4 linked regions of the Caenorhabditis elegans genome follow. The protein of the gene in region 1 interacts with the protein of each later gene in a pairwise test. Each region holds a gene or a part of one and is shown in the gene's direction. Other genes may lie near its edges.

The links.
Region 2: the proteins of tam-1 (region 1) and vab-3 interact in a two-hybrid assay, tested with the Caenorhabditis elegans proteins (one large-scale study listed by BioGRID).
Region 3: the proteins of tam-1 (region 1) and pha-4 interact in a two-hybrid assay, tested with the Caenorhabditis elegans proteins (one large-scale study listed by BioGRID).
Region 4: the proteins of tam-1 (region 1) and src-1 interact in a two-hybrid assay, tested with the Caenorhabditis elegans proteins (one large-scale study listed by BioGRID).

Annotation. Positions count from the first base shown.
Region 1 is NC_003283.11:4,957,192-4,965,508, reverse strand, and holds tam-1 (RING-type domain-containing protein), read left to right. Parts: upstream 1-2,406; 5' UTR 2,407-2,514; coding exon 2,515-2,550; intron 2,551-2,606; coding exon 2,607-2,718; intron 2,719-3,440; coding exon 3,441-4,066; intron 4,067-4,109; coding exon 4,110-4,316; intron 4,317-4,465; coding exon 4,466-5,411; intron 5,412-5,562; coding exon 5,563-6,382; intron 6,383-6,435; coding exon 6,436-6,523; 3' UTR 6,524-6,906; downstream 6,907-8,317. Other genes in the region: str-208 (Serpentine receptor class r-10), read right to left, coding at 6,937-7,344, 7,853-7,994, 8,049-8,262.
Region 2 is NC_003284.9:10,497,501-10,503,815, forward strand, and holds the start of vab-3 (Paired box protein 6 homolog), read left to right. Parts: upstream 1-2,389; 5' UTR 2,390-2,605; intron 2,606-2,737; exon of another isoform or gene 2,738-2,793; intron 2,794-3,587; exon of another isoform or gene 3,588-3,694; intron 3,695-4,629; exon of another isoform or gene 4,630-4,735; intron 4,736-5,070; exon of another isoform or gene 5,071-5,211; intron 5,212-6,147; exon of another isoform or gene 6,148-6,266; intron 6,267-6,315.
Region 3 is NC_003283.11:20,750,486-20,759,944, forward strand, and holds the start of pha-4 (Defective pharyngeal development protein 4), read left to right. Parts: upstream 1-2,566; coding exon 2,567-2,608; intron 2,609-4,855; coding exon 4,856-5,095; intron 5,096-6,043; exon of another isoform or gene 6,044-6,252; intron 6,253-6,424; coding exon 6,425-6,490; intron 6,491-6,548; coding exon 6,549-6,675; intron 6,676-6,938; coding exon 6,939-7,359; intron 7,360-7,671; coding exon 7,672-8,098; intron 8,099-8,158; coding exon 8,159-8,322; intron 8,323-9,161; coding exon 9,162-9,195; 3' UTR 9,196-9,459.
Region 4 is NC_003279.8:1,565,218-1,571,715, forward strand, and holds the start of src-1 (Tyrosine protein-kinase src-1), read left to right. Parts: upstream 1-2,391; coding exon 2,392-2,468; intron 2,469-5,119; coding exon 5,120-5,464; intron 5,465-6,498. UniProt on the Caenorhabditis elegans protein: Non-receptor tyrosine-protein kinase which plays a role in endoderm development by controlling spindle orientation in EMS blastomere, probably downstream of receptor mes-1.

The DNA of each region.
Region 1 (8,317 bases):
TTGTGGTGGTGGTGACGATGTCTATAATTAGAAATGGTCCTGGGAGATATCTGATGAAAAATCTGAATTTCCCGGAGCTGTCTGTCGCAAATGTCGCATGAAGTTAAATCCCGTTGCAAATTATTGATTCAAATATATTTTCACGTCATTTTTCAACTTTTCAAGGGCTGAAACCTCTGCAGTTTTTCCCAATCACTTAATTGAACTCTGACCTCAATTCCCTATTCCTTTCAGGTGTGGAATTGTCTTATCATTCCCTATCTGAAATCACATGTGATAGACTATCAAAAAAATTTCCACTCAGTTCTTCTCTGATGCAATAGTCATCATCGTTTTTTTGTTCAATATTCAACCAAGAAATAATCCCATTCAATATTATGTTTTGACACACAAATCGCATATGTCTTATCATTTTCAATGCATTTTGTCAAAAGAGACCCCTAGAGGGTATTAGAAAGACGAGTGGAATGGAAATTTTTGTACCCCCATCCTCACCACACAAGTCTCCAGACACATACACTCTGTATTGTTGCACAATGCCACTCTCTTTGTTATTTTCCTTTTTAAAAGCTATTACGCAATTGTGTTATTGATGTGTAATCAATGTGATCACAAAATAATAACATTGCATCAGTATTGTTGTCAACTGAAATGTTTTCCTAGCGGAATTAGAAACATGCTCTCTCTCTCTCAACAACGTAAAAGACGACGATAAGAATCAATATTATGATTTGACCTATTCTGCGTCTCTAAGCACACAGATGTTTTTGTCAAACATCAGAGCGACGGTGCCGAGGTATTCGTTCGTCTGTCATCATCGGTCTTCTTCTTCTTCTCACTTCACAACGTTTTTATTAAATTTCCATCCTTTTCTCTAGTTGCCTCTTCTTCGACGCCTGCAACCTCTCTCCTCTCGCCATAAAATCATCTAAATTGAGCCTCCACCAGCACTTCAATTTGCATTCCATTCCCTCCGGTGTCTTGGTCCAACTGCTGTTATGTATTCTTCGCAATTACCGAACACCTTTTGTCTTTAAGGAAGTCATGCTCTCTGTCGAGCAGCTGTGTGGTGGTTGCTTTAATCCGAGCCACCACGGCTCGCGCGCGGAGAGCTCAATGAAAAATAATCATGACCCTCGGTGGCTGCTGCCGCCCCGTGGGATGTGTCTGCCGGACGGGAAGGTTCGTTTTCTTCCCCCCGTCTCGGTGTAAACCAATAGAGAAGTGGTGGAGATTATCCCGGTGCACACACACACACACATACACATATGACAGACAACCATTCTCATCGATTTTCCGTCTTCGTTTTTCGTCACCATTTCTTTCTTTCCAACTGCGAGACCTATTATCCTATTATCGTGGTCCCCCCTGAAACAATCGAAGCGAGGAATAGACGCGTTGTCTTTTCACTTGATTCATGCACGCACAATTTGATGAATATATGACCCGACTCTTCTTCTTCTTTCCACTCTTTTCTCACTTTAATTTTCGTCGGCTCTCTTATTTTTCTGGGTTTTTATTCATTCAATCTCGCAATTTTTCAAAAAATTGCCAAAAACTACTGTATTTCTAAAGGCGCATGGACCATTGTTGAATTTGGTTCTCGCCACGATCTGAACTACGGTTGATGATTAAGCCGAAATTGATCTATTTTTCTCCAACTTTCGTCAATGAATCATAGTTTTTACAAAAAAAAATTTTGGAAGTATGTTTTAAATTCATTTATTCAATAATTTGAATTCAGTTTGAAAATAGAATACGATTTTTAACACAAAACTCAAAAAAAAAATCGCAAAACCCTACCGTACATTTTAAAGGCGCATGACCCAATTTATAATTTGGGTCTCGCCATGATCAAACTACGGTTGATTAATAAACATTTTTTATTTTTCTTTTTCTCCGATTTTTTCCACTTTTCCGCCGATGAATCATCAATTTTCATCAATAAAATGCCTGAATACAACTTAAAAAAATTATTTTACAATATTTTCTCGTGTGTTTGCCCAGAAAATGACATTTTTCAGTCTTTTTTTCGTAATATCACAAAAACAAACTTTTTTTTTTCTTGCAGCGCGAGATTCTTCTTATTTCGTAAATAGCATTTCGAAATTTTTTAGTCTTTTCGTATTTTTCACAGCGAAAACATCAAAAGAGATCACTCACTCACAAAACAAATTTCCTCCAGTCTTTATTGATTTAGACAGCAATTTTCTCAATCATAAACACGCCATCTCTCGTGCACCCTCATCCTCATCCACCCAAAAAGCCCCTTTTCATCGCAAAGTGCTTGTTTTGTCTGTGTCTCTCTCTGTGCGTTTTCCTCTCTCACTTTTTGATTCTTTGCAACTACGCCCCACAGCGTTCTCCCCGTTCGTTTTTCAAACATTATTGATTTTTCTCATTTTTTTTCAGGGTAATTTGGATTCCGCCTGACGGGCAAATCGGGTTCAAAACCGATTATTCACATTTTTATTGGAATATTTGAATATATTTTTGTATAAATAAAAAGCAATAATGGACATTCCGGGCACAAGTGGTACCAGTAATTATGTAAGTTTGTGTGAAAATAAAAATGATTAAAATCAATATAATTTTTGAATTTTCAGCAACAATGGGCTCACGTCGTCGAATGCCCGATTTGCTACAACATTTATGATAAACCGATGCAGATGGGATGCGGACACACGCTATGCTCAACGTGTATTGGAAGATTGGTAGGTTGATTGATAATTTTGAGCTTTTTCAGGTCGAAATGGTCAAAATTTGAAGGGAAAGTTATATTTTCTGCCGTTTTTTTAAACAAAATTCTCAGTTTTTTGCTTTTTTTTTAACAGAAAAAGGTAATTTCTGAGATACAAATCACATTTTCAGGCATTTTCATGTCATTAAAGCGTTTTTGAAGTTAAAACCACGCTTTTTCTCGAAATTCGACTTAAAAAATGTCATTGTTCTGACATTTTCAGTGATTTTGAGACGCTTGGAGCTAAAATTCATATATTTTTACTGATTTTCCACTTAAAAGTTCAATTTCTTCTTGAAATTTGAGAAAAAAAAAACGATTTTTATGTTTTTCTGAAAGTTTTCACAATTTTCTGCAATTATTAAACGTTTTCCTATGAAAATTAATGCCAAAATATAGAAAATCACTTGGTTTATCGGGAAGTAACATTTATTTCAGCTGAAACATTGAGGAATTCGCCAATTTTGAGCACTTTCTTTGAGATTTTATGTGGAAAAATGATATTTTCAGATAAATCAACTGATTTTCTATATGTTGAACTATTTTTTGATAAAAAACGTGATAAAATTGGTAATTTACCTGAAGTGACCTCTAGAAAACGCGTGGCAACCTTATTTTACAAAATAAATTTGCTATTTTCTAGCAAATTTTCATATTTTTAACTTCTTCCATCTCCAATGAAACTTAAAATTACAGGTAGATCAAGTGAAAACCAACATGGCAGAAGAACTCGGCCGCCCACGTGGCCCACTTCTACATCCCGACGATATAGGTCCAGGCTTCGGAGGCCTTGGCGGGTTTGCCGATCAGGAAGATCAACCACATTTCATAGATCTTCCCCGTCTAGATCCACGAATGAACCCAAACGATCCGAATATGGTGCGTGGAATTGTAGTCCTACCGAGACGTGGACCAGAAGCTCGCGCCACAGAGATCAAGTGTCCAGAGTGTAGAAAGCCGACGCTGGTGCCGGCGGATGGCCTACCTGTCAACTATCGAGTTCAGGAAATTGTGCAAAAAGTTGCTCCACTCTTCAAGGATCGCCATCTGGTCAAGCTGTGCAATCAGTGTGAAGCTGTTCTCAGTCAGGGTGTCTATTTCGATTGTTCACAGTGTGAGGAGACTGGCCGAAAGATCTGTTCGACATGCGCGATCCGATTGCACAATGGACATCAGCTGGTTGAGAAGAAGGCGCTGACGTCGGATGATGTTCGAGAGATGAAGCAAAAGATCAGTGATGCATCACATGCTGCATTTCAATCGCTTGAAAATTTGAAGCCAAGACTGCAATCTGTTGGTGGAACTATAGAAGCAAAAGCTTTAGATGTGAGTTTCAGAGTTCATAGAAAAAAAAAAAAAAAAATTTCAGAAGCTCACCTCGCTCATCAAAATCTTCGAGTTCATGCTCAGCACATTCGATTCGAAGATCAAGGAGAATTCGACAATGGACGAGCTGATGGAGGAAGTGAAAAAGGCGGAAAAAATTTCAAAAGTCTACTCGGAAGCTGGTGGACGTGTTGATGTGATGCTTACGGCTATCGAATCGGCGTTCAATTCCTATTGGGATCCTTTTGAGGTTTGTTGATTAAAAAAATATACAAAAATCTACAACAATCTTGTTCCACAATTTTTTTTTCGCTCAACTGGAACACGAAAGAAAGTAAAAAAAAACAAATTTTTATTTTTTTTTTAAACGTTTCTCCACACTCAGGATTTTATTTTCAGAAACTCAAGCAAGAAATGGGATTCCAAATCGACGAGCCTACTGGTTCAGTGAATCAGATTCCTGCCTCGGAGGGAGGAGCCGAACGAGTGAACGAGGTCGCAGCTCCCGCAGCAGGCAGACCTATTCCACAGAATGCCAGAAATTTACGAGGCGCGCTCAATCATTTCGCACAAGTGGCTCGTAATCGAAATCGTCAGGCGCGAGGAGTCCAGCAGCAGCAGGATCTTCCATTTCTCCCACCACCACCACCACATCAACTTGTGATGCCTCCACCCGCGATGCCTCCACCACAACATATGCAGGCCCAACGGCTCTGGGGAGGTCCACAACCACAACGGATGAATCAACCAATGATGGCTCAAGTTGGTGGGCGCCCGGGACAGTACATTATGGGCCATCCTCCACCGATGCATCATCAAATGCAACAAGGTCCACCGCGTATGATGTATATGCATCAGCAACATCATCCGATGCATCAGGTGGAAGATCAGATGCAGCGTCAGCATCAACGAATGCAGCAACCGAACATGAACAATATAATGCATGGAAACATGCAAATCGCATTCCAACAGCATATGCACAACAATGCCAATGTTCCGATGCCACCGCAAATGCCAGCTCATCCACAGCAACAGCAGCAGCAACGTCATCCCAACGAAGGGCAGCAATTCCAACAGGGACCACCGCCACCACCACCACAACGTATACAGAATCATCAACAGCAGATGCAGCAGTATCATCAGCAGCTTCAAGTGCAGCAGCAACAACAGCCGCAACCACGTGCGCAACCGTTCAGACCGCCAATCCAGCAGCAGCAGCAACTGCAACAAATTGATCTACAAGCGATGAACGATCGACAATTCCAACAGTTGGCTGATGAAATCGTGGCGGAGGATCAAATGGTACAAAATGCTGTCGATCCAGCAGCACCCGCTGACATTCCTCGTGAGTAGCATGCAATTATTTTTTGATCTACTAATAATACTAATTTTTGACTATACTGGTATTGTAATATATTGTTGATTCTTATTGTGGTGTCGAAACATAAACGAGTATGATTTCAAGGTTCTCTCGCAAACAAAAAAAATTATTTTAGGTGCCGATTGGGAAGAGATACAAGTTGCTCAACGAGGCGCCGGCGATTTTGGAATCAATTTTCATCCGGAACCGATAGTTGAGGAAGTGGAGGAAGAACAACCGGAAGTCGATCAGCAAGTTGTTGTTAATGGACAAGTCGTTGAGAATTATCGTGCCGGAGATATCAATAATGTCATTCATTTCGAAGAAGTTCCCGTGGTTTTAGAGCCAGATGTTGATGGTAATGTGGACCATAATAATGGAATTCTGGAGAATAACGTTGAAGAACAAGAACAATTCGATGATGTTCCACCGCAGATTAACAATTTTGTGGAGTTTGATGATATGCGCGAGCAAGTCGATGCGATAGAAGACGAGGAATTTGAGCCGGTGCTCCACAGAGCGGCGATAGAATTCCAAGAAGCAGCGGATCAGGATGCTCTAGAGCAAGATGTTCGGGAGCGTAATTTACTGGATCACGAAGCCGAGAACGAGGAGGAAGACGACGGTGATCTGCCTTACGAGGAAGAGGACGACGAGGAAGAAGAAGTTCATGTTCGTAACTCAGTTGTTCGTCGTCGCGTCCAGCGCCCACGAGATGCGGCGCACATTTCGGAAGTTGAAACAAGACGCTCTGCTCGCAGGCTTGCCAGGAATTCAAACAATCCGACTGATGAACCATCCACGTCTTCTGGAGCCGCCGGTCCATCAAATCGCCCACCACATTCTCCGACTCCACCACCTGGAAACAAAAGAAGAAGGGTTGATAGAAAACCGAAGACTGAAGAACCAGAACAAATGGAAACTGAACCAGTCGATCCTGTTCATCGTGCGCCAAAGTGAGTTGAGATTGAAATTGGCGATATTGACTTTCTTAATTATCGATTTTTAGGCGTCGTGGTACTTCTGCTGCATCGTCTTCCTCTAATGGAATGCCTTCGTCGTCTGCTCCAACAACTCGTAGCCAAACTCGTCTATAAATAATAATCTTCTCATTTCGTCTAATCACCTCATCCATGCTTTTATTCTGATTTTTGTCCATAATTTTCACCTATTGTTCTAAAGCACATTTCCCCCATTCATTCTTTCCCCTTTTATTCACCGTCATGAATTCTCTACGGTTTAGATGCTAGATGCTCTCTCTCTCCTCTTTCTTCTTATATACTTGGTATCTTCTAAAACTCTTTGCGGATCATTTTTTTCTCTACACGCTTTACACTTATCATTTCGATTTTCGTTACATCTTTTTTCTGTAAGCCTCATTTCTACTTGCATCTGATATATTTCAACTTGTTAAGGATTGCAAGATAATGTTTTGTATGTTCGCTAATAATGTTTTCATCATAAAAGTTTTCAGCATTTATTGAACATGCACGTGACAACATGGAAAATTTCAAACAGTTCCCGTGCGAGCCTGCACCGGTAAAATCGAATTTCCATGTGACTTTTTGAAAATTGTAGTGAATGAATTGAATATGGAAGAAATCGATTCTCGAATTGCATTTCGATAGCTTCTTACAATAATTAGTGTTGGAAGAGGATCAAGTGCAGGAAAAATGGCAGTTGTTATTGTGGTAATTCCAGTTAAGGAGCCGATATTTATTCGAAGAAATGAAAATGTGTATAAAGCAAATGCTGGAGTATGCACCAGAAATAATGGAATTAGTGTTTGAGCCACCAATGAATAGAACAATTGATTTTGCAGATTTTGAATGTGTTTCGACGATTCGATTTCTTTGAATTTCTGAAGGGATGTGTAGCATTTAAAACCGAAATAAAAAATGACAGACACGGAAATTATCTGAAAGAAGATTTAGAAGATTTATTTAAAAAAAATTCCGATTAATAATATTGATCCGGTTAATAATCCGGTTAACCCGGTTAATAATATTGAAAATACTCCAAGAATATTTATTTAAATTCAAAATGTCATTACAGGAAATTTTAAAACTCAAAATTTTTCAATTCTTGTTAATCTTTATGTTTGGAGTCATACTGGTTGGTCTTGAGTTTTGAGCTAAGCCTAAGCCTAAACCTAAGCTTAGGCGTACGCATAAGCCTAAACCTACGCCTAAGCATAGGCCTAAGCGTAAGCCTAAGCAAGGCCTAAACCAAAACTGAAGACTAAGCCTTCGCCAAAGCAAAAGCATAAGCCTAAGACTAAGCCTAAACCAAGCCTAAGTCTAAGCCTAATAATCTGAAACTCAGGAAAAAACCAAAAAAGAAAAACGACAAGAATTGAAAATTACGGATCATTTTTTTTTAAGTATTTACTTTCGTAAAATTCTTGCGTAAATCTGCCAACTCACCACAGTCACAGTTGTTGCAAAAATTGTCACAAAAGATGGATAGTAAATGTCCGTAGTACCATCTTCATTTTTTTCATAAAAATACGGCGCAATGTATACATTCTCTGTCACCTCCAAACCAAACTCTTTCAAAATAAATTCTCTGAAAAAATGTCACGAGGTTCGGGGTAAATCAATGTATACTGGAAGGTGTTACCTTAGGAACGCATCAGTACTCGGTCGCGGTGAGCAAGGAAAATACGCGGCAATACCCCACATAGTTCCAACTAATATTGATGGTAGAAGCCACCAAAATATTCTGACTCCTTCGAATGTTTTGATTGAATTGTTGCCGCTCACTGCCCAGAATCGATATATAAACTGTACGCTGAACATGACCATCAGTGATCCAAAAAATGCGCAACACAGGGCTGAAAATCAAATATTCCATTCTTATTTCACCTAGGCATTCTCGGCAAATCAGCC
Region 2 (6,315 bases), on another chromosome or scaffold:
AACCTAAAAAATTTATTCCAAATTTCAAAATGTTTCTGCTTATTTTTAAAATAGATTGAGCATTCAATGTGTTTGATTTAGTGTAACTCTTACGCCCGCGACAATGTCCTTACTAACTCCCAATCAAATACCACTACCTAAATTCACATCCAAGTGCTTACTGACCAAAACGTCATAAAGATTGGAGATGATGGCAAAGTTGTAGACGTAACAACTATGCCTCTATGGACTTGGCATCTTGCCCATGCTACTTACAGGCAGAAGATGGCATAGCACCTCCTCTCCCTCCCATTTTTTTAGACGCACCAATTCTGGTGATATATACTTGGCACATATCCAATACTACTTGTATGAAGTACGGAACAAAGCATTCATTTTTACAAAAAAACCAAAGAAACAAATAAATCCATACAAATAAAACAACTAAAATTCACGTTTTTGTGGTTAATTGGAATTAAAAAAATTACAACATTTTGGGGAGAACGAAACCCATAAGTACCAAAGTTTCTACTGTTATAAACATTATTCAACATTTTTATATGTTTTAGTAGTAAAAACTTCAAATCGTTCCTTTTCAGCAGATTTGGAGCTTTGTGTTGGAGTTTTTGGTGTTTGACCTTTAGAATATTTATTACAGAGTTTTAATAAATCAAATTGTCTATTGTATGTAGTTTTTTTTTTGGTTTTACATTTACTGATTATTAGATTAAAATTAAATAATTCAATTTTGAAAATTCAGAAAAATAGTTTTGACATCCTCTACTACCTTTTTTTCTCATTTTATCTTTAAAAAATTAATTCAGGGCGATCATTCCCGCCAAATACGGACATGAATCCCATTTGGTTACCAAAAAAGTGCGGCGGCTGTCGTTGAAAATAAAAAAATCCAAAAAGTGGGAAAACGACATCTTCTGTTCACTCATGCGTACAGAATCTCCAAAAACATTTCGCCGTATTCATTTTTGGCGTGATGTACCACATATGACTTGGTCCAGATAAAGGTACTGGTGTAAATTTGTCTGTTGTGTAATCGGCATTTGACGCTAGCTTCTTGCCCAAGTTTGGCAAAAAATTTCAACTTGAATCACAACACGATAAGCTTGGTTTGGACTGTGTTTAAGTTTACGCCAAGTTTGATCCAAATAACAGTTTTTAAATAATATTTTTTTTAATTTTTGGGAAAAACGCAGGTAACGCCAAATGCCAAGTATAATTATTTTTAGACAACCGTCTAAAATTTGGAAAATATATTTTTAATACAAAAAATCTTACTCCGAGATTGATAAATGTGGAAATTTTGTAAACTACGATAAAAAATGCAAATTATTCTTAGTGTGTCAATAAAATTTTTCTATTTACTTTTCACAGTCCCAGTACTTGTTTCCTGCCAGATTTTCTCAAATAGGACTGACACCTGAAGCGGAATAATTTGCTATTTGACTTCCGAGCCCTCGAATTCTGGCGGGCGGTCCAACAAGAAGAACCCTCAATATTCCGTTAGTTATTTGTCGTCTCTGAAGACTTTATTGTCGGATGCAGCGATACCGTAGTCCGAAGAAAAGAATAGAAGAAACTGACAATGAATGGAGAAGTGGAGTAAAGCCAGCTACAAGCAGGGCAGAAAATATAAATGAATAAGTAAAGAAATCAGTTACAGAAAAGTGACATTAAATTTTTTCCACGTATCAAATTATGAAAATTATTCATAGCGAGGTTTTTTAAATGTTTAATTTGCAGTTACACTGCTTGAATCCGAATATCGATGCGGTTGCATTAATATTTATGTATAAGGAATCATCAAAAATAAAAGCAGTAGCTGATTAAAACTTATTTTTAAATCAGATATGTGGTGCATCTCCTTTTCAGAAACCAAGTAGTTTTGTTCGATCTGTTAAATTCTGTTAATCACAATGGTTCAGAATGTCTGTAAACATGCTTAGAAAACTAATGAGGTCGGTGGAGCAGAAAGTCTGTGAAAACTTCTAATTGGAATCAGGTGCTGGCAGTGAAATCACAAAATATCTTGGTCTGTACACCGGGCAAGAGCATGCCTACACCCCGCGAGTTTGGCATGGCTAATCCCTTGTTTGACAGATGTTCAGGGGGAAGGAGCTACCACTGAATAGTTTCCACGTGAGTAGAAATTGATTCATGTTCATAACATTGATGGCAATGTATTCGAGAAACAATGCCCATCTGCCACAAGTTGCAAAAGGTAGATTGTGAATAAAGCTGCGCATAATCCATAGAGAATATGAATGAAAACTCCGCCCATTTCAAAGAAGACGATTGGCCCGAGAATAGAAGCAAAAAGTCAGCGGTGTCCTAGGTGAGACAACGGAGAAAACGTGTCCGGGCGCGGCTCTTTTCAATTGTGGACCGAGAGGGAGAGACGTCGACGTCTTCTTTTTATGTCACACTATATCGTTGAAATAGTTTCGCGCTTTTTTGTTCTGTCCCCCGAAAGTTTGTTGGACAGTTAGATACTGAGGATCTCTTATTCTAACACTTCCAATATCTACACTTACACTAAATTTTACGCTACACAACACCAAAATCCGCGAGTATTCAAATAGTGACGGTCGAGTTGACAAAAGTGAACGTGGTGAGTTAAACTCTTGTTGGGTAATGAGTTAGCAGAAAATCAATAAGATGGCGAGCACTTTCAGATGGGCGTGCTAATGAGGTGGGCATGGGCTAGAAGTAAGAACTACCCTTCTTCGTCGGCATATATTTTCTCATTTCAGTCTGTTGCCTTTCTGCTGATTATCATTAGACTTTCTTGTTGAGTAGATAAATTTTGATGCCTCATTGACAATCATAAATAATAGAGAAACAATCGATATTGTCATAATGATAACAAACTAAGTAGGAATAATGTAGAACTGGTTATATTTTGAATAATTTCAAAACTCTTTGGTCTTTAGGCTAAATATAGAAACCGAGTCCTTCTCGAAACATTGATGTCGTGGGCTGCTATCATGTGTCTCCTATGACTTCAAACTTTTCTGAAATTACGTTACCTAATTTTTTTGAGCTTTCATGTTGTATCACAAAAATTTTTCATTCTGCTATAATTTTTCACAGATAATTGTTTGGTTCTAAATTCTGGGCAAAGTTTCAGAATATATTTTGAACTTTAGAACTGAATTCTTGAGCATTTCTGATTTAAAAAATCTTTTTGAACTTTTGCTACAACTTCTTTTCTCTACCATAAAATGTTTTCAATCTTGTTCGATGCTTCTACAAAAACTCCAACATCAGGAGCCATGCTTTCTCCTCCCACTTATGTTATTCATTGTGTATGTACATCCGCATGTGTCCATCATTGACTCCAAATTCCATTAGCCATCTACCGTATCTGGATTTCCGGTGTGTGACGCCGACTCCATGGCCAACACAGAATCATCGTAATTCTCCCCGCAATCTACATATCGCTACTCCAATTTTCGAATTTTGCCCCGTGTTGCAATTCCAATGCATTCAATCAAATTTAAAAGTTTTGATGATTTGTCTACTCATTTTTCCCACCCGTTCCGTTTTCTCCATGTTCAACATTTTTGTCGCCACCACCATCACTGAGAGGGGTTTTTGTAATTGGCTTGAATTGACACCCATTAACCGGCACACCCGCTGTTTGGAAGATGTCATAACGAAAACGTCGTTTGATGGAGGTCTTTGTCCGCGCCTTGTTTCCCTGTCCCTATAGTTGAAGGTGTTCGCCATCAGGCACCACTACTTTTTTGGCGCCCCTCTCTTTTTCTCTCTCGTCAGTGTCAAACGAGTAGTTGAAAATTGTGCTATTCCAAATTACATGGAGCCCCACTCCTCTGACCCGAAAGCCTTTCCATCAAATTTCGTTTTAGTAGATCTTTTTAACTTGTCATTATGCTCCTTTGGATAAACGATTTGGCTCACAGGCAAAGCATTTTCAACTGTGGGGACATTCCGGAAACACTTAGCCAATTGATAATGACAGTCCATCGATGAGTTATAAGATATGTTATCAGATGTACAAATCTGACACCCATACAACAGTCCTCACCTCGCTCTCGTCGTCATTCAGTTGCCAAAATCGTCATGCCTACTTCCAATTATGCAACTTTATCTTACGGGAAAATCTAATAACTTTTGCATTTCAGCTATGGCACACATGTTCAAGACATATTTTTAAAAAGTGAAAAGGTTGTCGGGAATATATAAAGATAAGGTATTGAAACTTTGGAAGCCCACGTTGAGACACTGTAAATAAACATTCACATTCACAATTTTTATCGTAGTCACTAATGTCTTGTTCCTTTAAAAAACATTTTCAATTTGCGGATTACAGAGGAACTAACTTCAAAAATTAAAAAAAAATCATTGAAAACGTTTTCTAGAATTACTTTTATTGAGTTAGAAAAGTAGAATCATGCGCAAAGTTTTTAAATTGATGTGCAAGAAAAAATTATCTTTAAGCCTAAAAAGCAAAATCCAATTTACGACACTTCCAAACGACAGTAAAAATTTTAAAAATTCAAAACTTCTCTTTTTATTTTTATCCGCAATCTTTGAATCACCAAGACCACTATTATGAGCAACTTCAAACAAAAAAGTTTATGAGTTCAGATGTAGTTCGAGATACTGAGTCATGAGCCTTCTCCTTTTCGTTCTCAAGATTTTGATCTCCTCAAACCGAGCTGGGTCCATTTCTACAGCATTGTTCTATTCTTTTGTCAAATTGGCTTTTTTAACCCTTTCTTACCTGCCGAGGCCTTCTTTGTTACCTTCCGATCACCACATCTCGACGGTCCTCCCCTCTTTATCTTACTTGCTGCTAATTACGTGTTCTCGTCAGTCGGCTCCAGGCCCGGATTAACTTTGACTACAAAACATATGTCGTTTGTGTTGTCTCGCTGCTGCATCAATTCTGGGTCAATAATTTGTGATTAGCTACCACCTCCGGTCTAATTAAGGGCTCCACAGGTTGAGGCAGCTCACCTTCTGTTGTTCTTGTTTGGTAATACCAAAGCATCTATGTAGTTAGACTTTTGTAAAAGATTATGAATCAGTGAATCAGTACTTGCAGACAACTGAAAAAGAGTACATGCTTACTTTGACGTTAATGGAACTTCTAGAAGTATCAGATAATGTATTAGAAAATAGGTACCTGATTATCATATGGGCCAGTGACTCGGAGACGAGTGATAAAGTATCACATGTAACTGAGCATGTAGTACATGTACCCTAGAAATCCCACCTTCCATCTCACCTTTTTCGGGTCTTACTTCTGTTATTCTTTTTTAGTTTCCATAATTCACTCAAAACCGCTCATTACCATTACCACATTACTACTTCTCCGCTATATGCATTTGATATTAGACACCAACTATTGTGACCGGTGTCTTCAGTCTTTTCCCGCAATGGAGTAGGTGACTGTCATTATTGTAATTTTGTGGATTGGGGATGTATATAGGTCCATTTACTAATTAACGCACAAAAATTGTTATGGATGCGCCTCGGGTAGCTGTGTCGGCGTGACAGGTTATAAAAGAACAAATTGTTGGACACAGAGGTATACTGTAATAACTACCTCTACTCGTACTATGGGTGACCGGTATTTCGAATTTTCGCGTGCACTTTTTTTGATTTATTTTTCCAAAATAATATTTATAGGTGCAAGCTTTCTTTGAATCTTATTTTGTATCTTTTGATAGTAAACAAACAGCCTTCAATGAGGTAATTTTTTCTATAATTTACGTATAATTTTAAAGTGGAAATTTATTGTTTGTTGTTTTGCTACAGCGAAGGTCTTTGAAATTTGTAGTGCTGCCATAGTAATAGAAGAACTACGCTATGGTTAATTGCTCAGATTGATCCCAAGAGTATTTCAATTGTAGGCGCCAAACTTACTTTGGTGCACATTACTAAATATAAACAGTGTCGCAATACCTTATGACTTTTACTCTCAACATCTTCTCAATTTCTCAATTTACTACTTACCCTCATTTCTCAACCAATTAATCACAATTGAACCTCCACAAGTGTTATTTTTCTCAGAAGTGTCTTGACTCAAGTCAGCGACCATCTGTTATCTTGTGTCATTCATACCCTTATTGAGCCAGTCATTTAGTCAAGACGAGCACATTCTGTCATCCACGCAACTCTATTAAACGCTTATTGTTTGATTGATTACAAATGAATTTAATAGTAGTTGTAGTTGAAAAAGCAGGAACTTGAAACTATGTTGCCCATGCTTGTTCATATTCGATGCACTTCGAATTGTACTCACATTCTGAAAGCGAAAAAAGAAAAGGGAAAATTGATGACAGCTGG
Region 3 (9,459 bases), about 16 Mb from region 1:
TGTTCTCTCTCTCTCTCTCAAAAAACCCTTTTTAATTGCACCATTTTCATTGTCTTTTCCATATGGCTAGTCTCGTAAGACAAGTTCAACTTTCCACTTTTACACCTGAAACAATCTGAAAATGAGCACCTTTTGTGTATTATTACACCTAAGTGCTCAGCAACAGGGGGTACTCAGTGCACATTTGACCCGGTCAGACAAATAGGTTGTCACCAGAAGTGGATCGATTTTTCTGCTAACAGCTAATCTGGCAAATGCTCCTCTGTTTCTGAATTTATCCATTCCTTCGATCAATTCAGGACTGTGAGCTTATTTCTTTAGCTGTTACTGACAAGTTTAGAAGAAATCGATAGTTTAGATGAAAAAACAACCAGTGAAGTGAAACCCGCCTCTAGTTGTCCAAAAAAGTCACATCTGAAAAAATTAATTTCTAAAACTTCATCTTAAAATAAACCAATTTTTTTTTCATTTTAAATTATTTGTTTCGAATCCGAAATGTTTGAATGTCTTGAAAAATTAAATCCCAAATTTTCCAAATCAGATACTTCCTATATCTATTAAGTTTTCATTGAAAAAATCTGAAAATTAACAGTTTCTGAATAGATATTAAAGTGTTGGGTAGAATGGGAAAGACAAATAATGATTGGATGTAAAGATTTCCAAAAACTTTATTAATGCATTTATATAAAAGTTATAGTCATTTCTTATCAGAAAAACTATACCATGGCCCTTGATAAGAAAGATTAGATTTTTAGCCCGCCAATAGGACTATCATAACTGCGTTCATGTTGTTCACATGCATTATATCTGTAAATCGCACATGGGTGCGACTACTTAACCGGACAATAGGTCTCTATAGGTCTCTGAAAGTGAATACAGAGGTGCTGAGAATAAGATCATACAGCTGGCTGTATTAATATCTGGGAAAATCATAATTTTTTGGATTTTTAAATCAAAAAAAAAAAAGATTGGTAATCCCTATTCCCCTTAACAAAGAAACGATAGCAAAGGCCTAAAGAATAGTGTTACAAAAGATTCTACCGACGATGAGCTATGCGGAAAGCGGAACCATTAAACTTTTGTCAAAAGGTGATAATGGACCATCTAACTTATTGGTCACTTTCCTGTCTTTGTAACTATTATGTTGATAACCCTCATTATCAGTGCCCTTGATGGACGGAGCAACGAGAGGGCAATGCTGTGAACGTCTCTTTTGATACAGTAACTATCCATTGGGAGATTAGTCATTCCTGAACCTAATACTAGTTTCGGATGCTTGGGTGTGGTATGCAATGAAAAATCAATGAGACGGAACTTGAACTCTGTTTTTTGTGAATCGTTGAAATGATTCACCTGTTCCAAGTTATTTTTGGGAGTATTAGCGTCTCATTGATTTAACTTTCTTATTGCTTTTTTTTGATTTACAGTAATTATTATACCAGTATTGAACACTTTAATAGTCTCGCACAGACTTGTTACCAGATGTACCGTATCTATTAATTAAAAAAAATAAATCGGAACGATTTGAAATTTTGAAAATTGTGAAAATTTTAATTTTCGTGCCTAAAACAGCATCAAGCAAATTTTTTGTCAAAGCTTGATTCTTTTTCTCAAGGTTTTCAAAAATTCAAAAGTTAGTACTGTGCCTTCAATAAAACTTGTAGTCTCTTAGTCTTACACACCAACGGACCAATGGACATTGTATGAATGACTGAAACAAAAAATATATTATACTTTTTTGTGATATCTTTTTAAATTGCCCTTTGTTAATACTACCTAATTCTTAACTGCTATTAACTGCTACACAACTAGCCTTATCTTGCTCCCATAACGTATCTAAATGTCGCGCGCGCGGCGTCCGTCCTCTTATGTATCTGTACCAGTCACAAAATTGTGTTGATGAAAAAGGCAAGAAGAAGAAGAATGGCAGTTGAGGGTGAGAAATTTATTTTTCCTATTGTCGTGGGGGAGATTGGACGGTTTCATTTTTTCAAATGAGATATTAAAACATGATTAGGAAGAGTTGAGATTAGCTGATTGTGAGCTTAATGATAGTTTTTGGAGTTCAATGTTAAACTTTCCATTTCTACACCACTATACGATTCTGGGTCACTAAACACCCTTGCTCAGACGGCTTTTCAAAGAAACACCATCTCCCCTCTCCACCACCCTACGCCTGTACAAAATGACTCAAAAGGGCACCGCGCCCGCTCTCGGTCTCCGATCACTCAGTCTCTCTCTCTCCCTCCACAACCCAAAAAGGAGGCTTGCAGAAGTAGAGAAGCAGAGAGTGACGATCGCTGTCTCCAGGTGTCCGTGTCAAACTCTCTTATCAATCAGTGCTCTTTTTCTCTCGTGTTACTGCGTCTCTATGTCCATTCCCTTCTACTCATTCCCATACAGCCCCCTTCTACACCACCATCATCACCATCACACTGTCACAGTGTTGATAACGAAGAGTCGTATCAAGAGACCTAACAAAATCACCCAACCCCAGCCAATATTACCTTATACACCCTATCTGTCCACTGCGTATTTTTTGAAGGACTATCTAATTTGAGATACAATGACATCGCCATCCAGTGATGAGGACATTATTGATATAAGGGTAAGGCACCAGTTATTTTCTGCTTCATGCATCGTTTTTTTTTAAAATTGTTCGGGGCCTCTGAAAACGTTTTTGTTAGCTCCCGGCTGTATGCTCACTTTTTTCGAAATTAAAAACTTACAACCATCTTTGCCACACATGTTTAATCTATTTCTGCAGCTACCTTTCTATTTCTCTTCTGAAACAATCTGAAAATGAGCACCTTCTGTGTATAATAGCACATAAGTGCTCATTAACAGGGGATACTCGATGTCAATATGACCCGGCCAGGATGCTAGGTTGCCACCTATTATTGCTCCATTGGTATTCTGGGAAGATGCACATTTTGAGAATATCATGAACATCTGTGATTTGTCAGAAATAGTTTAGGTTATTGTTCAGCTTACCATATTTTCTTCAAACATCACTACAAACTTTTTTAATGACATTAAATACATTTTTTCTAAGTTCAATAGCTTTTTTGGAATTTGAATGTTAGTCATGAACTCTTAAAATATGCAAGGCTCAAAAAGTGAAATTGTTAAAACTTTCTTTTAAGATTTTTTTATCGATTCTCTTTTCGGAGAGATACAATGAAAATTTGATTCTCACGGTCCACGCACAAAGTTTTTTCTTCGTTTTGCTAGAAAAAATTTCTATGGAACAATTTGAACATGTTTTGAAACACTGTGGAAAATTAAAAGTTTTCATATTTCGATAATAAGAGCTCCCGAAAAAAATGCTCCAAAAACAAAACTCGGGCCATCCAAATATTTTTTGTTTCGATGGATGAAATGCGATATTCACCGAAGGGGCACCACCACCAGTGGCTCCGAAAGCTTCCACCCAAAAATGGGAGCCTCCTAGACGTATATTTTGTGCTCTTTTCTACTCTCTCGCTCCTCCTTCCCATGCAAATATTTGACAATTTCGCAGTGTGTATGTGATATCAGTTTTTGTTTGCCAATTGTTGTTTCTTTTATTTGCCATGTTCGTTTCACACGGTTTCAGTGATAAATATGTGATAAGCTTCAAGACGAACCTAATTTTTTTAGAACAAAATATGACGAAATGGGGTTCAAAAGTTTGGATTTACCATGGAAAATGTTTTTCTCACTTTACAATTACTATTCTTATAGACATGAATTTTCTTTTTCCTAAAAACGTCCCACACTTTTTGATTCTAATATACCTACACCTATTTTGAAATAATGAAATCATATCGAGTGAGTATTGATAAGAAACCTCTTCTTCCGCCTACACTGCTTTCTACTCTATTTTACGATTATTGATTATTTTGGAGAAGTGTATAAGATAATGAGTCAGCGCAGTTAATGCTCAATAATAACAGGTGCTAAAAAATAGGCGGCAGATGGATGATAGTCGTCTCAAGTTTTTTTACGATTTTGAATCACAGCTGGAAAAAACGACTGTTAGGGCGAACATCTGGACCCAGAAATATTCATTCAAAATTTGCTTGAAAGAACCATTCAAAATCGGACTAAAAACGGCGGCAATAGTAAAAGGAAATAGTTTTTAAAAAAAGGCGAATCGGCAAACTGCCGGTGCCGGATATCAGATTTGCCGGAAATGTTTAGAGGGATTTTTTCGTAAGACCGAAACACTTTGCCGGAAATTTTCAATTCCGGCAATTTGCCGATTTGCCGGAAAAATTGTTTGCCGCCCACCCCTGATTGATACCACGCCTCTTTTCAATCAATAATAAAAGTTTTAATAAAAATGTGAGAGGACCCATAGCGGTATTGATAAGGTGGTCTAAGAAAAGAAAAAAAATTAAGATTTCTCTTGTAGATTTTGTTGAAACATTCACATGTTTTTAAAAAAATAGCGATAGTTTTTTTTTTCAACTTCGCCGCCACGTAGTAAAACCCTCGCATCCCGAACCTATTTCCAACCCACTCTCATTTCGTCATCGTTCTTCAGCTCTTGAAATTGCCGTTTGTATCATTTGGTGCTATATATTGCATTTTTAAGAGATTTCCTTGCCGCTTTTCCTCTCATCAACCCTTAAGCTTTCGCCGAAATTGCCCCCGGACATATTTTCAATTTCTTCACATCTGAATCCTCCTCCCTCCTCTATCCCACTTGTATGTAATTCTATACCACACCACCTCATTCTTAGTATCCTAGTACGTGCTAGGCTAGGACACAAAATTGGGTCAAGTGGAAAAGAGATATTTTGGAAAATTCAATGAAAAATTTGAGAACTTTTTAACAATGAAAAAAATTAAACTATTTTGTTTGAAGGTCATCAAAGAGGAGCCAGAGTCGGAACCTGACTCTGAAGCCGAGCCAGCCACAACCACGAATTCAACGGATTCAGAAGATTCTGTGGAACAGGAAAATAAAAAGTTATTGGAAACCGAGAAGAATCGAAAACGCGAGCAGAAACATAAAATGTTGCCAAATGGAACCACTTCTGGGACCTCCGACACGGGAAATCAGGTGCCTGCCACGTCGTCGGCTGCTTCAAGTGTAGACTATACGGTAGGTATGGTGCGGCAAATTTGGTAGGGTGTCAAAAATAAAGTAATAATAATAATCGTCATTTTTAACCCAAGCTTATCAGAATAAAAAACCATATGGCTAGTTGTATAACCGTCTGGCGTATCTTTTTGATGATTAATTTTTTGAGTAGGTAAATGCACTGTGAGTCATTTAGTTTTTTTATTCTTCTGTTTAACTTGTTAGTTTCTGCAATAAGTTTTAAAATTTCAATTCGTTAATCAATTTTTTAAATCGAAAATATTTCTTTGAAATTCAATCCCAGATTCTGAGTATATCACCAAAATTTAGAATTGCGAAATATTTTGAGGTCCAATACGGCTCAACATTAAAATCAACCAAAAATTAAAGAGTGATAACCAAATAGGGATTATGTTCAAGACGCTGTGACACCAAGAAGTTGGCAAAAAAAATTTGATTTTAGCTGAAAATGGGCAAATTTTTTCTAGAACTTTGAACCGCCATAGCTTTTTTTTGAGAAATTTTTAAAACGTCTCATTATGAAATTCGGTAGTTTTGCGTCATTTTGGGTTAAAAAAGCAAAGTCTCAGATTTCGGTACTCCTCATTTAATAAAAATTCGATTTAAAATTGTAGCAGTTAGTTTTTTTTTTGTAAAATTTTTTAGAAAAGTAGCTAAAAAGTAGCAAAGTGATGGTGTCCAGAAGAAAATAGAAATTGTGAGGTCCTCCTACCAAAAGAAGAAGGGGCTGGGCGTCGTGTTGCCCAAGAAGCCAAATATTTATTCAATTTCTATTTATTTATCCGACGACGACGAGGAACCCCCCCCCCCCCCCCCCCCCCCCCCCCCACCGTCCACAAACACACACACAACCAAAATTAGAATTCTTAAAAAAGCACCACGTGGAGATTACAATTAGTGAAACACCTATACTATTTTCAGCCATGAGTCAGTTGAAATCTAAAACAAGGTAAAAATCCGAAATGGGCGGAGTCCGCGACGGGGTTACTGTGGCTAAGCGATAGGCGGTGCGCACGCGCATAGGAGGGCAAGGTAGGCGGAGTCCCGCTGCTCTAGTGCCTAGCCTCTCCTTCACCTCTCTTCTTCAGTACGGGGCGTTCTACTTACCTTTGAGCATCATCTTTTTAAGGAATTTCCAAGGCTCAGGTTCAGAGGTCAAACGGGACTTATTTGTTCATTTCCATGTCTAGCTCCACGTGTGGGGCTTCCGAATTTTCTAAATATTTGTTATTTGTTATAAACACACACACACACACACATTTTGTATTTATCTTTAAATATTTACATAATCCCAGACCTCAAAGCAAACTTTCAATTTTTTTCTTGCAGGCCATGAACGCTCAGGACTATCTGCCGACGTATTCTAATACTACGTTAAACTACCAACCATATCAGGTAAAAAGTTTGACCCTGTTCTCACTAATAAGTCTAATAACATCCATTCTACTTTCAGTACCAGACTGCTGCCAATGGACTTCTGAACTACAACAACTACAGCCAGTATGCCACTGCTAATCAGCTCGGATCGAACTACATCAGCCCAGCCAATTTCATGCAAGGAGGAGGAATTTCACCTCTTGGTAAGTTTTAAAATATCCCTAATTGTCTAAATACTAACTCTCACATACATAAAAACAGTATAGCATATAATTATTTTTAATACGGTTAAGACAATGCATGAATTTATATCTATAGACAATCCTGATTAAATAAATTATTGTGAGATACTCTTCACTCTGAAAGCTCTAAATATTTCCCAAGCACAAAATGAGTATCCATTATTCATTCATACCTACCTTGAGTGGCGCTCTCTATACACAATTTGTAATTTGATCTCATTCAGGTTTTACCACTGGCACCACCGGAGCCACCACAGCGGCCGCTTCCGTGGCCACGTCGTCCGCCTCAGCGGTCATCGGAAGAAGCAATGGACGATCAAGCTCGACGGTTGCTGCATCGCCAGCCGATAGGTCTTATTCTGGTGTAAGCGGAGGGCAAGGCCAAGAACTCACGATTCAGGAATTTGAAACTGTCACGGAAAAGATCAGAAGACATGGAACTTATGGACAATCGAAACCTCCATACTCTTACATTAGCTTAATTACTATGGCAATTCAAAAGTCTAATTCTAGACAATTGACATTGTCTGAAATCTACAATTGGATCATGGATTTGTTCCCTTACTATCAGAACAATCAACAAAGATGGCAAAACTCAATTCGCCACTCCCTCTCCTTCAATGATTGCTTTGTAAAGGTTGCCAGGTAAGAGTCTTGAAAATTAAAGTTTTTTCTGGACACGTTTTGTCCCGATAAAAAACTTCTTATTGTTTTCCCACAAAAACCATCATTTCCTATTATAATCGGAACCTATATAGTTTATCTCAAGGACTACCTTTTCTGCAGCGCCACATTTATTATACCGTGCGCCCAAGGGACACCCATTGATGCGTGAAGCTGTTGAAATGAGAAATTACCGGAGAGAGTGAGGGTGCGCGTTAGTGAAAAGATTTGACAAAAAATCTATATGGATGTTTTCCGGAAACGATTTACAAAGACTAAGTTTATAATTTTCAGGTCCCCTGACAAGCCTGGAAAGGGATCCTTCTGGACTCTTCACGAGCACTGTGGGAATATGTTTGAGAATGGATGCTACCTCCGTAGGCAGAAGAGATTCAAGGTCAAGGAACGTGAGCCATCGAGAAAGAAGAGAAATGCCAACTCCCAACAATTGCATCAACAACAACACATTCCAAAAATGGAAATCAAAGAAGAGGATCCAACATCCATCACGACCACATCATCACTTGGTGCTTATTCTCTGATCCCTCAAATTTCTACAAAGAAGGAGATCAAGGAAGAGCTGAAAGCTGTGCAAGATGCAACTGCAGCTGCTGCCAATCTTGGCCTAATTGACCCATCGGGAACGCCGTCGGCTGTTAATCACAGTCAACCTACTTCAGTGATCTCAAGTGTTGGCACACTAGGAACCACGCAAGCACAGGTAAGATAAAATCTAGCCAGTGAATACAATATTTCAAGCTCCCATTTTGAATTTTTTCAGATGACACTCAATGGTCAATACGCGTCTCCTTACCTCTACAGTTCGGATTTTGCCACAATTCTCCCACAATCCCAGAATTTCCTGAACAACACACTCTACAACACAACGAGCAGTTATCCAGGAATTGACTACACCAACGGAGTATACCAGAATACTCTTTACAGGTATGTCTGATGGTATAACTAACGATGTTTTGTTGACCCCCTACTAATTTTTTTCGTTTGTTTTCCTTGTTTAAAACACATCATTTATTTTCTACGGTCTCATGATTATTTTGAATGTTTTAGAAGTTAACAATAAATTTCAATTTAGTAAAAATTGGAGTCTGGTTCTACTCGGTCATAATAGTAAGATTTAAAAAAGTACTAACGAATTTGATAGTATTGGTTTTTATTATCAAGGAAAGTATTTCAACTTAATCCCGGAATTCTGAATAAAATTTATGTCATTTGAAAGAAGACCTTCTAAATAGGCCCCTGCAAAAATTTTAGCGGCAGAGGATCACTCTGCGCTGCAAAAAAGTCGCTCTGAAAATTTTTCAGTGAAAATTTCAAAACGTTTGAGGCCCGAAAAAATGTTTCAGGTGTAAATTTTTGCACACTTTCAATGAATTATTGGTCTTTAAGGAGCCGGCTAACAATCGGAAATTTTTTTTGGACTGTTTCGATTATTATTTTTTGGACTGTTTCGATTATTGGAATTTTTCAGATTATTAAAAAAAAAAACTTCCAAAAAGCGTCTAGAATACTTGAATGAAGATTTTCAAAATTATCATTTGGAGCAATTTTACGGGCCTCTAAAGTAGTTAAAAAATGCACTGATAGCAATTTCAGATCGACTTTTATCCAGTTCAAAGTGCTCCTCTGCCGCTAAAACTTTTGGGGCTTATTTAGAAGGGTTCTATGAAAGTATGCAAAATGCACCTAAAAATAAAATATAATTAACATGGCCCGTTGCAAAAAAAGTCGATAGAAAGCCTAGTTCCATATTTAAATAATTTCAGCTCCACCAACCCGAACTCGGCCGCCAACCTATAAATCTCCAATTCACACGTTCTCCTTTTATTGGAACAGGGCATAGGATACTGCTGATGCTAATACCGTGAAAAAAATGTTCTATGGATGGAAAATGATTATTTTTTGCGATCCTCCTGCCATTGGTTTCAACCGGCGTGCTTGTGTCACCTCATCGTTGTTGTAAATACTGTTGAGAATTTATATTCATTCTTCGTCCCATGTTCTCTTTTTTTAAACTGAATTTGAATTTATACTGGTTCCCCTCTACCAGATGCCTTAACTTTT
Region 4 (6,498 bases), on another chromosome or scaffold:
TTTTCAAACGAGAAAAAAAAAACGGAAACCTTCCATTTTCTCACATTCCATTTCTCCCTTCTCCTCAACTCTTACACACATTTTTTTCCACTTTTTCTTCTCTAATCCTCTTGTCATTTACACTATTTCGCCCTCCCGTTTAACACTATCATTTTTTTTTTCAAAAAACAAAATTATCTTTGTGTGACTCACACAATTTTTTCTTAGAAATTAAATTTGTTTTAAAGATTTTTACAAAAATTTGTCACAATTTTCAGATTTTCGTGTTTTTTAAAAAGAAAATCGGAAAAAAAAAGTGGATTTTAAATAGAAAAATTAACAAAAAAAAACCGAAAAATATCGATTTTGATCCGAATCAGAAAAAATAGTTTTTTTAAAGGAGGTGCAGTCGAATTTTTTTGAAAATTTCTTTGCTAGCCTCAAAATTGTCTGAAAACACCGAATTTCATAGTGAAACTTCTTGAAAACTTCTCCAAATACCGTATTTCCTCTATTAGTTAGGCACCTCCATTAGTTTTGCATCTAAAATCACTAATCGAAAATTAGTTTTGCACCCCCTCAATTTGTTCCCTATGTTTAGGAATTCAACATTTGCATTATAAAATCGTTCTAAAAATTAGGAAAACTCTTACAGACTTGGTATGACAAGTCAAAATTGACAAAATATGAGTACAATTCGGACAATTTTTGCGTATCAGTCGTAAAATTCGTAAATTTTCGATCATAAGTTGTTATTGAAATTGATCATAACTTAATGGAAAACATGAGAAAAAACCTGTTCGAAAATTAGTTTTGCATCAAATTAGGTGTCCGAAAATTAGTTTTGCATGCCTTACTAATAGAGGAAATACGGTAAAAGTTATGGCGGCTCAAAAAATGGCCGACATTTTTTTAAATTTTTTATCCAAATTTCGCCGTCCATCGACTTTATAATACCTAAATGAAGTTGAAAACGCAGGATAATTACATTGTATACTCAAAATTTGACGGTGAATTCAAAAAAGTTAATTTCCAGCCGCTTGACAAGTCGGTCAAATTTCAAAATTTAACTTATCTTAGGCCATTTTTTGAGCCGCCATAACTTTTACCGTATTTCCTCTATTAGTAAGGCATGCAAAACTAATTTTCGGACACCTAATTTGATGCAAAACTAATTTTCGAACAGGTTTTTTCTCATGTTTTCCATTAAGTTATGATCAATTTCAATAACAACTTATGATCGAAAATTTACGAATTTTACGACTGATACGCAAAAATTGTCCGAATTGTACTCATATTTTGTCAATTTTGACTTGTCATACCAAGTCTGTAAGAGTTTTCCTAATTTTTAGAACGATTTTATTATGCAAATTTTGAATTCCTAAACATAGGGAACAAATTGAGGGGGTGCAAAACTAATAGAGGAAATACGGTATTTGGAGAAGTTTTCAAGAAGTTTCATTATGAAATTCGATGTTTTCAGACAATTTTGAGTATATTAAAGAAATTTAAAAAAAAATTCAACTACACCACCTTTAAATACAAAAATACTGATTCTGTTGGGAAAATATTGTAAATTTCTTCAAAAAATTGATAATTTTCGCGTTTTTTCTGAATAAATTCCAAGCGTCAGAGTTTATTTAAAACATATTTACTACCCCTCCATTTTCACTTTTTCCTCTAAAATCTCGTTTTTTTAAAATCAAATTCCCGCCAAAATTTCCTCATTTTCAGAAAAAAAACCTCGAAAATAAGAAGAAGAAGCAACCATTCCATATGCATGCTCAATAATTGTTGTTTGCACAAAAATACTGGTGTCTTGTGTGAGTTTTTTTGGAAAATTCAGAAAATTTTCACTGAAAATTACAAAACCTGACAATTTTTGAATTTCGCGACGATTCAAGTATTTCACATGGTGTCAGAGTGTCACATTTCGGCTTGATCTACGTTGATCTACAAAAAATGCGGGAAAACGGGACGCTGACTTCTCATCTGATTTTGTATGGTTAAGACCGTCCTGACGTCACATTTTTTGGGCAAAAAATTGCCGCATTTTTTGTAGATCAAACCGTGATGGGACAGGCTGGCACCACGTGATATTTGCAAATTGTAAATTTTAATATATATTAAAATTAACAAATTTTTTGAAATTTGTTTGAAAATTCTGCTTGTACAGTCTTTTTTTGCAGTTTTCCAGTTGTGGAAATGTCAAAAAAAAATTAAATTGACAGAGATTTTTCAGTTAAAAAAATTTAAAAAAAAAAAACGAAAAAATTCACAAACAATTTTTCGACAAACCGGCAAATTGCCGAAAATGAAAATTTCCGGCAAACCGGCAATTTGCTGATTTGCCGAACGAACGAGGCAACCCCAGTAACATTTTCCTGAAATAATTTTTTTTCAGAATAAATAATGGGTTGCCTGTTTTCAAAAGAGCGGCGATCGGGAGGCAGTGATATGGGTGTTTCCGAACGGATAGATGTCTCCAGGTAACTATTTTATAGAGAAATGTATTATTTTTTTGGAGACAATCAACTTTTTTTTTAGATAAAAAGTGCAAAAATTAAATACAGATTTGAAAAAAAACCGATTTTCCGGTTTGGTTTAATTTTTGGTAAAAATTTGAAATTATTGATTTTTAGTTAAAAATTAGAAATCATTGATTTTTCGATAAAAAATCATAAATTATTGACTTTTCAATTAAAATAGGAAATTTAGCTATTCTAAATCTACATAAAGCATGATATTTTATGCATTTACATGGTGGTGAGCGGAAATCCCCCGTTTTGCCGGAACTTTTCAATTCCGAAAATTTGCCCGTTTCACATTTCGATAATTCGGCAGTGATCAACAGTTGTTAGATTTTCGGCATTTTCTCAGCAAGTAAGTGCCCGATCCCAACAAATTCCGGCAATTTGACATTACTGAGTTCCAAAGAATTTTGAAAAAAAAAACGAGATCCCTACTGTAGTAAATGTTTTTATTAGAAATTTTTTTTTCTGGAATTTTTTAATCGAGACTGAACTCTTTTACAATTTCGAGTGTATTTTTTTGGAAAAAATGTATAGAATTTAAAAATGTATCATTTTCTCTGTCCCGTCTTTTTTTATAGAAAGTTTGCTTTATTTTTAGGCTATTTTTAGGCCAATGTTGTTTTCTAAGCCTAAAAATGAAAATAGTATTAAGATGAACATGTGCATTAAAATTGAAATATTGAATGTTTAAAATTATTTAGTGCTCACTTTTTCCGAAAAAAAAAATATATAAATAGAATAATCTCAGAAGAAAAACTATGGCATCATTTTTGCCCAATTAGATGCCAACGATGTCTTTAAAAAATTATATATATATATATATATATATATCTTTTTTTTTAAAAACATTTAAAGACATCTATTTGGGCAAAAATGATGCCATAGTTTTTCTTCTGAGATTATTCTATTTATATATATTTTTTTTCGGAAAAAGTGAGCACTAAATAATTTTAAACATTCAATATTTCAATTTTAATGCACATGAGAATGTTCATATATGTACTTCCTTTTCTATAAAAAAAATTTGATTGTTTGCCCACCTAAAAATGCACTAACAACGCGTCAATTCGCGTATTATATTTTTTTTAAAGGTGGAGTAGCGCCAGTGGGGAAATTGCTTTTAAACATGCCTATGATACCACAATGACCGAATATCATGGTTAAAAAATTCAAAAAAAAATTTCTAAATTTTATATGATTTTTTGAAAATTGAAAAAATCTCAGTTTTGCCTAATTTTTTGTTTTGCCTAGATTTGTTCGGTGGAGCGCGCTTGCACGCTTTTATTTTTATTTATTGTTATTTTTTTATATTTTCCACCGATTTTCAATGTTTTCAGTGTATTTTTGTCTGAAATTTGAAGAAAAAGTCAAAATAAATGCAAATGTTCGATTAAAAAGCATTTAAACGACGATTTCGAAACCTGAATTAATTAATTTCAAAGATTTACGCTTGTGAAGTAGCTTTTTAATCAAAAATTAGCATTTATTTCGACTTTTTCTTCAAATTTCAGACAAAAATACACTGAAAACATGGAAAATCGGTGGAAAATATAAAAAAAAAAACAATGAATAAAAATAAAAAATGTGCAAGCGCGGCGCTCCACCGAACAAATCCAATTGGGGGTAATTCAAAATTCAAATAGGAATTATTAGGCAAAAATCTTTTTTTTACCATTTTTTAATTTTCAAAAAATCATATAAAATTTTTTTGAATTTTTTTATCATGGTATTCGGACATTGTGACCCCATCACTGCAACTTTTTCCTCACGAGAGACAAGGAAAAGTGGTTTCTAGGCCATGGCCGAGGGGCCGACAAGTTTCAGCGGCCATTTATCTTGCTTTGTTTTCCGCCTATTTTCTTTCGTTTTTCATCGATTTTTTTCGTTTTTTCTTAATAAAACTGATAAATAAATATTTTTTGCAGATGCTAAAACAATTTCCAAGTAAAAAAATCATGTATTCAGTGGGCAAGCAGCGGTGAAAGTAGTCGATGTAATATGATGGATTACGGGAATACAAAACCTAAACTTTTTCTGAAACATGATACATATGATGCTTAGATGCTTAAATTACCTGATTTTCATAACGAGACCGCTGAAAAAGTTTTGAGGTTTTCAAAATTCAATTGTTTTTGGTGAAAAAGTAGAGATTTTCGCACAAAATGTTGAATTTTAAAAATCTCTAAACTTTTTCAGCGGTCTCGTTATGAAAATCAGGTAGTCTCAGCATTTAAGCAGCATATGTATCATGTTTCAGAAAACGTTTAGGTTTTGTATTCCCGTAATCCATCATATTACATCGACCACTTTCACCGCTGCTTGCCCACTGAATACATGATTTTTTTTACTTGGAAATTGTTTTAGCATCTGCAAAAAATATTTATTTATCAGTTTTATTAAGAAAAAACGAAAAAAATCGATGAAAAACGAAAGAAAACAGGCGGAAAACAAAGCAAGATAAATGGCCGCTGAAACTTGTCGGCCCCTCGGCCATGGCCTAGAAACCACTTTTCCTCGTCCCTCGTGAGGAAAAAGTTGCAGTGGCTACTCCACCTTTAATTATTTTTCCATTTTTTTTCCGTACACTTCCCCCATTACCCAAAAAGATATCCACGCAGATTCCAAACGCCCCAACAACAGACAGTATTCCACGTGAATAACGGTGGAAACGAGGGAACCATCTCTCAACTAAACGGAACATCAGACGGAATGATGGGAAATGGACGTGGTGGTGGTGGTGGAGGAGGAGCACAGGAACGTGAGACTCTGGTCGCCCTCTATCCATACGATTCACGTGCCGACGGGGATCTTAGCTTTCAAAAAGGCGATGCTATGTACCTATTGGATCATTCGAATTGTGATTGGTGGTATGTTCGACACCAACGAACCGGACAGACTGGTTATGTGCCGAGGAATTTTGTTGCCAAGCAACAGACTATTGAGAGTGAAGAGTGAGTTGCATTGTTTTTTTTTGTGGTTTGAAGTATTATATAAGTGAAATTTTGCAAGAATATCAACAAAAAAAAGAGCACAGATTAAGAGCACTAAACCTCTATTAAATTAATTAGTCTGAAATAGAATAATTAAAGTGGACTATTTGTGAGAAGAGTTTTAAAGCAGAGGTGAGCGGATATTTTCTAATAATGAATTTATCAATAAGTATTGATGTAGTTATTCAGGAAGAAATGTATCCGAACCAAAGAGTAACTATTAAGCAACATTTTAATATGATAAAACCTAGAAAAATTCTACAAGTTTTCTGTATAAACGATATGCAAGTCCATTATCCGATATCCGTAATATCCGTAATATCCGATATCCGATGTTGCTCGGCGAATAAGTTTTAAGGTCTCGGTAAGGAAAACTTGTAGAATTTTTCTAAATTTTATCATATTAAAATGTTGCTTAATAGTTACTCTTTGGTTTGGATACATTTCTTCCAGAATAACTACATCAATACTTATTGATAAATTCATTATTAAGAAAATATCCGAAAAAATATCCGCCCACCTCTGTTTTAAAGGTGGTGTAGTCGAATTTTTTTTATTGCTTAATTAGACTCAAAATTGTCTGAAAACACCGAATTTCATAATGAAATTTCTCCAACTTCTCAAAAAAAAAAGTTATGACGGTTCAAAAAATGACCTAAAATTTGATAAAATTTGAAATTTGACCGACTTGTCAAGCGGCTGAAAACTATTTTTTTTTTTGAAATCACCGTCAAATTTTGAGTATACAATGTAATTATCTTGCGTTTTCAATCGGATTTAGGCATTTTAAGGTCGATGAACGGGGAGATTTTTAATTTTTTCTACCAAATCACGCCGTCCATCGACTTTAAAATACCTAAATTAAATTGAAAACGCAAGATTATTCAGTTGTATACCCAAAATTTGACGGTGATTTCAAAAAAATAAACGTTTCCAGCCGCTTGACAAGTCGGTCAAATTTCAAATTTTAACTAATTTTAGGCCATTTTTTGAGC